Daphnia pulex: one gene and its partners. The protein of the gene in region 2 purifies or fractionates together with the protein of the main gene of each other region. This does not show direct contact. Links are inferred from orthologs where the notes say so. Each region holds a gene or a part of one and is shown on either strand. Other genes may lie near its edges.

Region 1 (3,752 bases), on a different chromosome or scaffold from region 2:
TGAATCGAAACTTACCTATCCGCTGAGATAAATTACTGTAAGTTTACACAAAAAGTTTGAAGAAAATCGATGCAGTAGTTTAGATTTCTATAAATTTATTCTGATTCTGAATTAAAGGTTCTGGAAGCCTGGCCCAGAACAGCGTACACTCCCCCCACATCCCTCCCCCTCCTACACACCCAGACACCCGCATTTACTTTAATGCCTTCTGGTAGTACAAGTACTACCCTCAGGGATAATAATTACACATAGCAACCGCCATCGATGTCCACATTGCAGCCTTCCTTATACAAATCAAGTGTGCCATTGTACAGAAAAGCCTCGCCAAAACGATCCGCTGTCAATGTTGGCTTGATGTATAGGATCCCATCTCGAACGTAACTTTAAATTGAAATGAGTTATTTCCATTTTGAAATTCAATTTGAAAATAATACCTGTTTTCGGGTAGATTGTCGTAATATTGGAATTCACTGTTGCCCCCTCGCCATGCTGTAATTAGGTGCTTCCATTTGTTTGTGTCAAGAAATTCAAAATCATCTTGCCAGAGGATTGGTCCGCGCGCTTGGTTGTCAATGCTAGATCCGTGACAAACTGCCAGAGCAAAAAGGGCGATAATAGAGAGCTTCATCATGGCTTTGGCAGTGAACGGTAAGGAGAATATTTATAATTCTGACTGTTACCGGTTAAAGAATGAACGTAACATAGCTTTTATACTTTACCACAAGGACATATAGGATTTGAATCAGAAAATATTTTTTATCAATTCATGACATAAGCAAGACTCATTACACTTTGACCGCAAGATGCTAAATATTTTGACCTTTGAAAATATGGTGTAAAGGATTTTTGTTTGTAACGACGAGTATCCGGGTGGATTCAAGTCGAAATAAAATACAGCTTAGGTTATTCAAACATTTTTAAAACTGAACTATTTTTTTTTTTACTGTTTTACATTTATTCCCAATGTCAATTAAAAAATATTTTTCCTCGTCACCGTGGTATGTTTCTAGTACCGCTATACTTGAACTGAATAAAAAATAATCAATTCAAATGTAGTCAAGCGGACTTGGAAGGAACGTGATCGCGACGTGACAAAAACGTGATTGAAATGTGGAACAGCATTACGTAATAACACAAATTCTGTGTGTGATGTAGTGGTTAATAGACTAATAGTTTCCAGTAAGTAAAGGGGTTCAACGTTCTTTTTTCCCCCGACTCTTGTCTGTTATTTTACTTTGAAACAATATCCGGTAAGCCACCGGAATTGCCAAACAGTTATTGGTACTGTTATTCTGTACTGAAGGTTAAGAACACATATAACACTATAATAAATCCGGCTATATTCATAAGTATGAAATTTAATTGAAAGTACTTTAATTAACATGTTTATACGCTCCGACTCCGAGTAAATAACATAACCTAAATAAGGAGAGAAACACTGCGAGGCAACGATAGCGTTATCAGCCTACAGCTATCGACGAAAGAGGATACAAAAAAAGAAAGGTAAAATATTTACTTTTTTGTTTTTTTCTGAAAAGGGCCAACCACCCAACAACTTGGGTTGGTTGTTGGTATGCTCCGAATGTCCGCAGTCCTCCGCACCTTGATTTTCTATAACAAGCCAGTGATTGTGTTGTAAGGTCGATCTGGCAATGTTTTTCCCAGCCCCGTATTACTTTTAGGCGACTTTCATCTGTAATCTACACTTTCTAATCTATTTCGTCAAGCAATTACTTTTTAAAGCTATATTACTTATGACTGTAGAAAAATTTCACTATATTTAGTGCTCAACTCTTAGGATTTGGGTGGGGCTTTCAGTATAAACAAACAATTCAACCGGAAAACATGGCCGACGACGACAGCAGGCGTGGTGTAACCAGTGTGGCAGATGCCGACTCGGCTGAGCAAAGCACTAACAGCGGTGACAATCCACAGGTGAAAATAGTTGTGTTAATTTGACAACCAAAACAATGTCCAATAATATTTCCCATTGTCTGTTTAGGCTGAATCAAAAGCGGTGACAGATGACGTTGCAGTTGCCAGTCAACCCACTGAGGAGACACCAGAAGACAAGACGATTCCAGATGCCCCCAAAGCTTCTGCAGAGGTGATCACGTCTGCCACAAGAGATTCAGAAGAAACCAAAAATCGGTTGGCCAAGGCCAGAGAAGAGCTTAACAAAGCAAGAGAGGAATCGGCTAGAGCTAGGGATGAAGTTGAAAAAGCAAAAAAAGATCTTGCTGTGGCTAAGCAGGACACCTCAGCAACAATCCAAGTTGCAGTTGAAAAGCCATCAGCAGAAGTCAATGTTGCTGCTTCAGAATCCACCCCGAAAGTCGAAACAGAAATAGAAAAGCCTAGTAAAGCGGAAGAAGCTCCAGCTGTCACTGAACATGTTGAGAACAGCAAGAAAGAGGAAAAACCAGAGATACAACCAGAAACCCCTAAAGAAGAAAAGCTGGTACCCGAAGATTCCAAAAACTCAAATCAAAATTGTGAAGCTACTGAACCAAACGAGGAAGTTGGAGAAGAAAAACCTGTCACAGCCCATGAATCTCAGTCAGCAGTAGAAACTAAAACAGTCGAAGAGGAAGCTAAGGTAGAAGACACAGTAGTGACTGCTGACAATTCAAATGCCACCAAGGAAATTCAAGTAGAGAGCAACAAAGAGGTGGAAACACCAGTTGGAGCAACAGAGGAAGTGCAAGAAGAGTCTCATGTGGAAGAAAAACAACCTGAAAGCAGTAAAGACGAAGAAGGTGAGATAGTTGAAGGTGAAAACGAAGAAGGTGAGCTAGTTGAAGATGAAGAAGGCGAAGAAGTTGAAGGAGAACATGAAGAAGAAGAGGTTGTAGAAGGTGAACGGGAAGAAGGCGATGGAGAAGAAAGTGACGACGAAGATGCTCCAGCCAAGCCGTTAGATGATGATGAAGACCGTCGAAACCCTCAATATATTCCAAAAAGAGGTGGCTTTTATGAACACGATGACCGAAATCGTGAAGAAGTTGAAGAGGCAGCTGCGTAATTATAACAAGTTTCCCCTTTAACTTGTTTCATTTAAAATAATATTATTTTTTAACATTTTTGCAGTGAAGAGCCTGTAGCCGGAGTAGAGGTGGAAAAGCCGAAGAAGACGAGAAGTGAAGCCATCGATCGTTGGGGTCATGATATGTTTGACCCAAATCAGCAAGTGCCCAAGAGTGATCAAGAGTTGGTTGATCTCTATGGATACGACATTCGCCAGGAAGAAGGAGCTCCGAGGTATAATGCACGTCTATTGAGTTAGCAAGCACTTGTTTTTACTAACCGTCTGGGGAATCTATTTTTACAGGGCGCGCCGTCGCAGACGTTATGGTCGTGGCCCAAACAAGTACGATCGTACATGGGAAGATGAAGATGCTTATTCTCGGCCTCGCGGACGTGGTGGTGTTGCCTCAAGAGGTGGTCCCTCAGAACGTGGCTCTGGATTTGAACGCAATCCCGATTCCCGTCCGCGCACGCAGCGCCAAGAAATGCCCAAAAAGGATGAATTCCCCGCATTATCGGATGGCAAACAGGAGCCCAAGGCCCAGGGAGAGACTGCCCCAAAGCAATCTTCCCAATCCAATTGGAGAGAAGGTGAAAGAGGAATTGGAATGACTGGAGGCAACGAACGTCGCGGCGGTGGTAACAGCAACAATAGCAATAACAGTAAGGCGAACGCTGTTTCTTATCGACGTGGAGGAGGCGGACGAACATTCGAAGAGCGTCGA
Region 2 (3,752 bases):
TTAAAATGTAATTTTGTAATTAATGAAAGTAATATTTTGGTTCATTACTTATAATTTTCAGCTGCATTAAATAATTCAAGTCAATCCATCAGGGACGTCGAATTTACTTCCGGTGATTCATCACTAACAACTTCAGTTTTCGTGTTCATCTGTTGTACCCTTACTGTAGTGTGTTTAGGTGAATAATTGTCATAATAAACCAAAAATTTTCAATAAATACTTGATGTATTAACCTTGGTTAACAGGGGCACAAACATATTACCATTTTCTTCGTAATAATTTAATCAAACACAACATTTTCACAAATGGAGATTTTCTTTTTTACAAAGGAAGGTACACAAATTGTATCTTTTCGCTCACTAGGGCCTACTGATTGAGGTTATATTGGAAAGTGCTGTTCTCTGAACTTGACTGTTACTAGGAACGACCGGTAAGTTATTTTTCTTTGCTTTTGCCGCTGCGGCTGCTACGGCACGAGCAGCTTTCTTGCAAGTGTCATACTTCCAAAGCTTTGTTATTCTTTTTGGGGGATTAGTTTGCGACTTGATGCACGATTCGTGGAATGTTTTTCTCTTGAAATTGTTGTCTGCACAAATAACTTTCCCAAATAACGTGTTTTGGCCTCAATACTAAGTCCACTGGCATAATTAGACAGTGACATAGTTAAACACTAACACTATAACGAACTAATATATAAATAAAACACATCACAACTTCAAAACAACCCCCTTTTCTATCACTATTTTTCAAAAAAATTCATATTTCGCAGAACAAACACAAGTCACTCGTAGCAGACAAAAATACATGAGTTGCTGCGTTGCCACGATGGCAACAAATGTTAAAAAAGATGTCGAACAGCCCTATATGTCTACGAGAAATGAAATGTCTTTTTCTCTGAAACCACTGGCTTCCTAATTCTGTGACTCAATTATTATCTGAATCGTGGTTTAAGACCTGTTTCTACTTCATTAATTCTTTTCTGTATAACAATGTAACTATAACCTGCAAGCAATATTTAAATCACGAATGTGAACAATAATAATTTGTGACTGGGCACAAAAAGTACCATAGGAGCACATAATCTGGCGATCCCGAAAATCTTTATCTATAAAGCGTTGTTATTTAGCTTAGATCTAAGTGTGTTTGTTTGTGTGCCACTGTGCCTATCTAATGTGCAACACAACTGGTATTTCATTACATTTTTCAAAAGATTGCGCAAGAGGGCGGTTGCATCAACCATCAAGCCGAGAGATGGCGCTTCGATCGCACTAAAGGAAAAGGGAAAACTCGCACAGCCGTGAAAACACACATGCGAGTTTCGTTCCGTAAGAGATTGTAATTGACGTCATTAATTGCTATACCATTTGGCAAAATGAGTGTGGACACTTTTGGGCCCAATTCGCAAACGCTCACGTTTCTCGACACCGAGGAAAATGATTTACTTGGGGCAGACACTCAGGGAACTGATTTCGATTTTCGCGATTTTACTTTGCCGAGTCAAACCCAGGCTTCACAAATTGATCATGCCAGCCTTCACAAATCAATGGGAAAACATCAGGTAAGAAATCCTGCCTGGTGAAACTTTGAAAACATTTCTGTAATTTGTGGTCATTTTCAGGCGAATGGGCTGGACACGATTGATTCTCAACTTGCTACTGCAATGAAAAATTTGAACGATCTCCAGTTTGAGGAAGAAGATGAAGAGGGCTATTACAGCAAAGATTTGCCACCACATGCATGCAAGTATTGCGGCATCCATGATCCTGGTTGTGTTGTAATGTGTAATATTTGCAAGAAATGGTTTTGCAATGGCAAAGGTAATACTTCTGGCTCTCACATTGTTAATCATCTTGTACGAGCCAAACACAAGGTAAAAATATTTTAAAAATATAAATCTTAATCCTTGTTTATAATCAAACTCTTAATTTTTCAGGAGGTTACATTGCATCGTGATGGACCGTTGGGTGAAACAGTTTTGGAGTGCTATTCTTGTGGAGTCAGAAATGTTTTTGTTTTGGGGTTCATTCCTGCTAAAGCAGATTCAGTTGTTGTGCTGCTGTGTCGCCAACCTTGTGCAGCTCAGTCATCATTGAAAGACATGAACTGGTTAGTTAAATTTACTGTGCTGTTTGTCATGTGTGGTTTTCTACTAACTTCTTCTTGCTAATAGGGACATTGAACAATGGAAACCACTTATAGCTGATCGTTGTTTCCTCAGTTGGCTTGTTCGAAGCCCTTCAGAGGCCGAACAGATGAGAGCTCGTCAATTGACGGCCCAGCAATTGAACCGTTTGGAAGAGATGTGGAAAGAGAAACCTGAGGCTAGTTTTGAAGACCTGGAACGTCCTGGCGTTGACGAAGAACCTCAGCACGTATTGCTGCGATATGAGGATGGCTATCAATATCAGAATATTTTTGGTCCGCTAGTGAAACTTGAAGCAGACTACGACCGACGAGTTAAAGAAGCCCAAACTCAAGACAACGTTCACGTTCGCTGGGATGTCGGTCTTAATAAAAAGACTGTCGCTTACTTTAGTCTTCAAAAGACAGATAGCGGTAATGCCTAATATTTATAGTTCACTAGTGTCCCTTCTCATATTTTTCGTTAATTCAGATATGAAACTGATGCATGGTGACGAATTAAGATTGCGTTACCTTGGGGAACTACACAAACCGTGGACTGGTTTGGGGCACGTGATTAAACTTCCAGACAACTACAGTCAGTCTAATATATAATAGTAATAATAATGATAATATAATATATAAATAACTATATTTTAGGCGAAGAAGTCGGAATTGAATTAAAGAATTCAAACGGAGCTCCTACAGAATGTTCCACAAATTTCGTCGTGGATTTTGTCTGGAAATCAACGTCTTTTGATAGGTAACATCCGATGAGCTCGTATTTCAAAGAGATCTAGTGACTAAGAAACATGTCTTTCAGGATGCAATCGGCCCTGCGGAAATTTGCAGTTGACGAAAGTAGCGTTTCAGCTTACATTTATCATCGTTTGCTCGGTCACGAGGTTGAAGATGTCGTATTCCGCCTACATCTCCCTAAACATTTCTCTGCTCCTGACTTGCCTGAGCTGAATCGATCTCAGGTATAAAATTTAGTTGTTACTTGATAGAACATAGAACATTCATTGCTTATCTCATAATGTTACGCTTTACAGGTTTTTGCTGTAAAACAAGCAGTTCAACGTCCATTGACATTAATTCAAGGACCTCCTGGTACCGGGAAAACGGTTACATCGGCCACCATCGTGTACCATTTGGCTAAACTAGGATCAGGGCCAGTATTAGTTTGCGCTCCGTCCAACATTGCTGTTGACCAATTGACTGAAAAGATTCATCGAACTGGTCTGAAAGTGGTCCGTTTGTGCGCGAAATCCAGAGAGGCCATTGATTCACCCGTCTCGTTCTTGGCCTTGCATAATCAAGTTCGATGTCTTGAAGGGTAAGAATTTACTTTGCGAAAATGTGTCATCGTGGGGCTAAAGTTAACTTCTATTATAGAGCTTCAGAGTTGCGAAAGCTGGTCCAGCTTAAGGAGGAAGTCGGTGAGCTTTCACAGGGAGATGAAAAGCGATACCGCATGTTAAAGCGACAAGCAGAACGAGAGCTACTCGAAGCAGCAGATGTATTAGCGTGCACTTGTGTTGGTGCTGGTGATGTTCGCTTGGCTCGCATTAAGTTTGCATCTATCTTGATCGATGAATCAATGCAAGCTACTGAACCTGAATGCATGG
Region 3 (3,752 bases), on a different chromosome or scaffold from region 2:
TACCAAGACCACGAGCACACACCATTATAATAATAGTGAAGGATCCATTGAATGGCAAGAACGTAACCCTCGGCTTGATCCCGAAGGACATCACTAAAAAAAAATTAGTTGTCAATTTAATGTCAACATTGTTATTCGACATTTAAAGAAATACAATTTACCTGTCGACTTCGCTGTATTCCATTTTTTCCATGTAATAATTCCTCTTGTGGGCTTTGAATTCCAGCTGAAATTGCTTGTCTTCGTCGGCCGACGTGTACTCGTCATCGTCGGAAACGTAACTTTCTCCTTCCTCATCATTGGTTTCCTCGTCAATATCAGGTTCCGTTTCTTCTCCGCTTTCCGTGATACAAGCTGAGGCGTCGACAAGCTTGTCAACAACAATCTCATCAGAATCGGCGCTATCTTCTCTCAAGAGATCGTCAACTTCAGCAGCCTTGGCAAGCAAAAAGCTGGCAGTATCAGAGGGTCGTACAGTAGGCGGTTTTTTTTCAAACTCGTACTAAAAATAGAAAAAAGGAATGCAATCGAAGATGCTAAAATTAATCTAAGATGCGGCTACCTCGACTAGTTTCTTGCGACCGTGTCGACTCTCCAGCCATTTGACATCAGCGAAGGTGTCATTAAAATTTTCGTAGTCTATGAGCGCTAGACGTTCCATAAACTTTTCGAACCGTGGCAAGTTCAGCTGACCGTTCTCGTTAATATACCCATCCAGAGTGGGTAGAACTTCCATGTAAGCCGAGTAGAGTAGCGGTAATGCGCCTTTGTTGATATGGAAATGTGGAAGATTAGGAATGAAATCGTTTCCAACCAAAAATCCCATCAAGACCTACAAGGAAAATTTCACTTAAATTATGCGTGAATTTTTTTAAATGGGTTTAAACTATAGCTTACCCAGTCATCAATAATATGCTCCAAGTCGTAGGGAAATTTCAATTTAGGCTTCACAGAGGCAAATTCAAGATCCAAATATTCACGGAATAGTGACAAATGCAGTAAATGAAATGTAGTCTCCTCAGGAGTCGTAATCCTCTTTTCATTTTTCTTTCCACCAAATCTAACCTATTTCGGTGCAACAACAAAAAATTAGTTCTCGACTCGTTTTAAAACAAAAAGCAGACCTTCGTACTTCTTCACGGAGCAAGGAGAAATATGGTTCGTGAGAGCACAAACCCAACATCATGAGATCAGCATCTAACCCATAAAGACAGTGACGAGTCTCGGCGTTGTAGTCTGGTTGACTTCTTTGAAATCGAATAAACTCCATAATCTTGTGCTCACCTTCTCCAGGAACCTGTGAAAAGTGAGTTGAGCAAGATTTCATGTTGTGTAAATGGTTGACTAAATTACCTGATGTCCAGACAAAATGACTTGCGTATTTTGCCACAGAGGATCAGTAGATACTTTATTGGTGACAAAAAATTGCAACTGTTTTTGCAGATTGTCCATGAATTCAGTTCCAGGAGTGATGCAATTGGAGTCAAATCTTTTCTCTTCTGGCAAAACCTCACCCTAAATTAGATCAACTTGTTAAAACATTGTTCATAGATGATTGATCAATTTATATACCTTTCTCAGAGCTTCTTTTTCTTTATCCTCAGCTTCCTTAGCTGAGCGGAACCTTCTACCACGCTGCTGGTTCATTTTGGCACGAGGGGCAACTCCATCAATTGCCATGAAGAAGACCTTTTGGGGTCTAATGAGGCGAAACAGGACCTGCATGAAAATAAAGTTTAACAGGTTGTCACACAAAACTACTGTCAGTAACTTACCTCCAAATAGTGAAATATGTCAGAAACAATTTTTTCTTCAGAGATTCTGAAGTGAACATCTTCGTCGTTGGGGTGGGAGCAGTTGTGAATAATTCCATTCATGTCCAGGTATAAATTGTCAAATTCAGGTATCTAATCATTCAGAAATTTATGAAATACAACACATTTATATTGCTAATTTAAATCTTAAGCATACCTGATATTCTTTTACTGTTTCACTTAGGCAAGGATAGCGTTCGCTGATCCACCGGTAAAACTTGGGGACACCCATATTGCAAATTTGTAAGAAACGACTGAGAAATTAATATGTCAATCAACACAATGCAATCTTTATAACTTTATATATCTCGGACAAGTTCTCGTAGTGAGTTTTACGGCGGCTATAAGTGATGAGCTACGAGCCTACGATATGAGCTTTTATTTAGCATACAACCATACAAACACCGAGACAATGCAAAACCAGCCAAAAGCGACATTGCAACATTTTCTCATAGGATTCCGACCGGTTATTTATTTGTTTATTTTTTAAGCTCTTCTTTTTTATTTTACCGTTAGATAAAATAATAAAAAAAAAGTTCTTTGATTAGAAGATATTCCGAATTTTGCAGTGAAATTGAAAACGCATCAAGAATGTAAAATGTCATTTTCTAAAATCTATTGCGCTGCATCAGCAAATGAGAATGACCCTCGACTTTATTTACAATCGTTTCTTCTATTTTGATATTAAAAATGGGATGATCCGATAGGAATTGGCAGTGAGTTTGAAATAATCGGAATATTTATGCTAAGCTCAGCCTTCCAGCAGCGACAATGTCTTCAAATGTCAAAATAATAACATAGTGACAATGAGTTTTGGCTGTGACGTTTTTGTTCCGGGTCCTAGGGGGTTGGGGAAGGGAAAAAAATCCAGAATGGCGTCGACTGCTTTACCTTAACTTTCGTATGGAATGGATGGATGTGTTGGGTTGGCCGTGCAAAAGTTTGATGCCTGAGAGAGAATCTGGCTGTAAATGGTTGAATGTGATGAACTCTAGAGTCAGGTTTTGTAATTAGAGGGTGTGCAAAGTGTGGAATTGAGAGTGTTGTGTGTGTGTTTCTTTCCGAGTGTAAAAAAAAAATCGGCTTCTTCTCTCCCCCCCCCCCTCCTTCCTGGTCCCAGTTGTGTACAGCTAGAGTCGGCGTCGATGGAAACGATAGCATTCATTCCCCGTTTGCGATGATCATATGCCCGTACGATTGGTTGTTGTAAAAGTCGTGAGTATCTCGTCAGTTTATTTAGTCGCCCGAAAATGAGCTGCAGCTACATTCAAGTTGCTGAGGATGAGACTGAGGAGCCCATAGAATTACCCACTGAGGATGACAGTGCGCTATTGCTCAGCACCTTGGCTGCCCAATTTCCAGGTGTTTCGGGCCTCAAGTACAGAGCCCCAGAATCTCGCTCAATGAGAGGTGTCAGACTTCTAGAAGGAAGGTTCCAGCCGCCAGAGGATGGCTGGGGGAACCACGTCTACATATGTGTTTTCCCCAAAGGTAATGATGCATGTCAAACTTTGTTTGGTTTTTCAACTAGACTAAGACGGTTTCTTGTGTGCATTTCAAAACAGAAAACAAACGAAAGTCAGATGACCATCCAGAAAACTCCACAGCCAAAACCAAACGGATGGAAATGAGGCTCAAGTGCTCTGACCTCATTGTGCTTGGATTGCCATGGAAAACATCCGAGCAGGACTTGAGGGTGTATTTTGAAAACTTTGGTGAACTTTTGATGGCACAGGTACGATTCAAGACCACTCCTGTAAACAAAAAGAGTTCACTCTCTTACCCAATGTTTACATGTTGACAGGTCAAGAAGGATGCAAAAACTGGCCAGAGCAAAGGTTTCGGCTTCATACGATTCGCCAATTACGATTCTCAAGTCCGCGTCCTTTCTCAGCGGCACCTTATCGACGGCCGATGGTGTGACGTGAAAATTCCCAA

Evidence for each region.
Region 1: the proteins of regulator of nonsense transcripts 1-like (region 2) and protein CASC3-like purify together in Homo sapiens (co-immunoprecipitation; 5 studies listed by BioGRID and IntAct, with this or other methods). This does not show direct contact. The link is inferred for Daphnia pulex from reciprocal best matches to the Homo sapiens genes UPF1 and CASC3.
Region 3: the proteins of regulator of nonsense transcripts 1-like (region 2) and 5'-3' exoribonuclease 1-like purify together in Homo sapiens (affinity purification with western blotting; 4 studies listed by BioGRID and IntAct, with this or other methods). This does not show direct contact. The link is inferred for Daphnia pulex from reciprocal best matches to the Homo sapiens genes UPF1 and XRN1.

What each region holds. Positions count from the first base shown.
Region 1 is NC_060026.1:13,506,685-13,510,436, forward strand, and holds the start of protein CASC3-like, read left to right. Parts: upstream 1-1,115; 5' UTR 1,116-1,503; intron 1,504-1,519; exon of another isoform or gene 1,520-1,798; 5' UTR 1,799-1,845; coding exon 1,846-1,935; intron 1,936-2,002; coding exon 2,003-3,021; intron 3,022-3,090; coding exon 3,091-3,261; intron 3,262-3,331; coding exon 3,332-3,752. Other genes in the region: beta-1,3-glucan-binding protein-like, read right to left, coding at 247-381, 435-631. UniProt on the Homo sapiens protein: Required for pre-mRNA splicing as component of the spliceosome. Core component of the splicing-dependent multiprotein exon junction complex (EJC) deposited at splice junctions on mRNAs.
Region 2 is NC_060017.1:7,856,058-7,859,809, reverse strand, and holds the start of regulator of nonsense transcripts 1-like, read left to right. Parts: upstream 1-1,193; 5' UTR 1,194-1,372; coding exon 1,373-1,558; intron 1,559-1,618; coding exon 1,619-1,870; intron 1,871-1,933; coding exon 1,934-2,106; intron 2,107-2,170; coding exon 2,171-2,556; intron 2,557-2,614; coding exon 2,615-2,719; intron 2,720-2,781; coding exon 2,782-2,884; intron 2,885-2,944; coding exon 2,945-3,104; intron 3,105-3,176; coding exon 3,177-3,460; intron 3,461-3,519; coding exon 3,520-3,752. Other genes in the region: uncharacterized protein LOC124197441, read left to right, coding at 62-186. UniProt on the Homo sapiens protein: RNA-dependent helicase required for nonsense-mediated decay (NMD) of aberrant mRNAs containing premature stop codons and modulates the expression level of normal mRNAs.
Region 3 is NC_060026.1:2,432,195-2,435,946, forward strand, and holds the start of 5'-3' exoribonuclease 1-like, read right to left. Parts: upstream 2,253-3,752; 5' UTR 2,047-2,252; coding exon 1,972-2,046; intron 1,908-1,971; coding exon 1,776-1,907; intron 1,720-1,775; coding exon 1,573-1,719; intron 1,516-1,572; coding exon 1,354-1,515; intron 1,298-1,353; coding exon 1,133-1,297; intron 1,066-1,132; coding exon 898-1,065; intron 833-897; coding exon 563-832; intron 503-562; coding exon 162-502; intron 94-161; coding exon 1-93. Other genes in the region: uncharacterized RNA-binding protein C660.15-like, read left to right, coding at 3,065-3,305, 3,380-3,549, 3,619-3,752. UniProt on the Homo sapiens protein: Major 5'-3' exoribonuclease involved in mRNA decay. Required for the 5'-3'-processing of the G4 tetraplex-containing DNA and RNA substrates. The kinetic of hydrolysis is faster for G4 RNA tetraplex than for G4 DNA tetraplex and monomeric RNA tetraplex.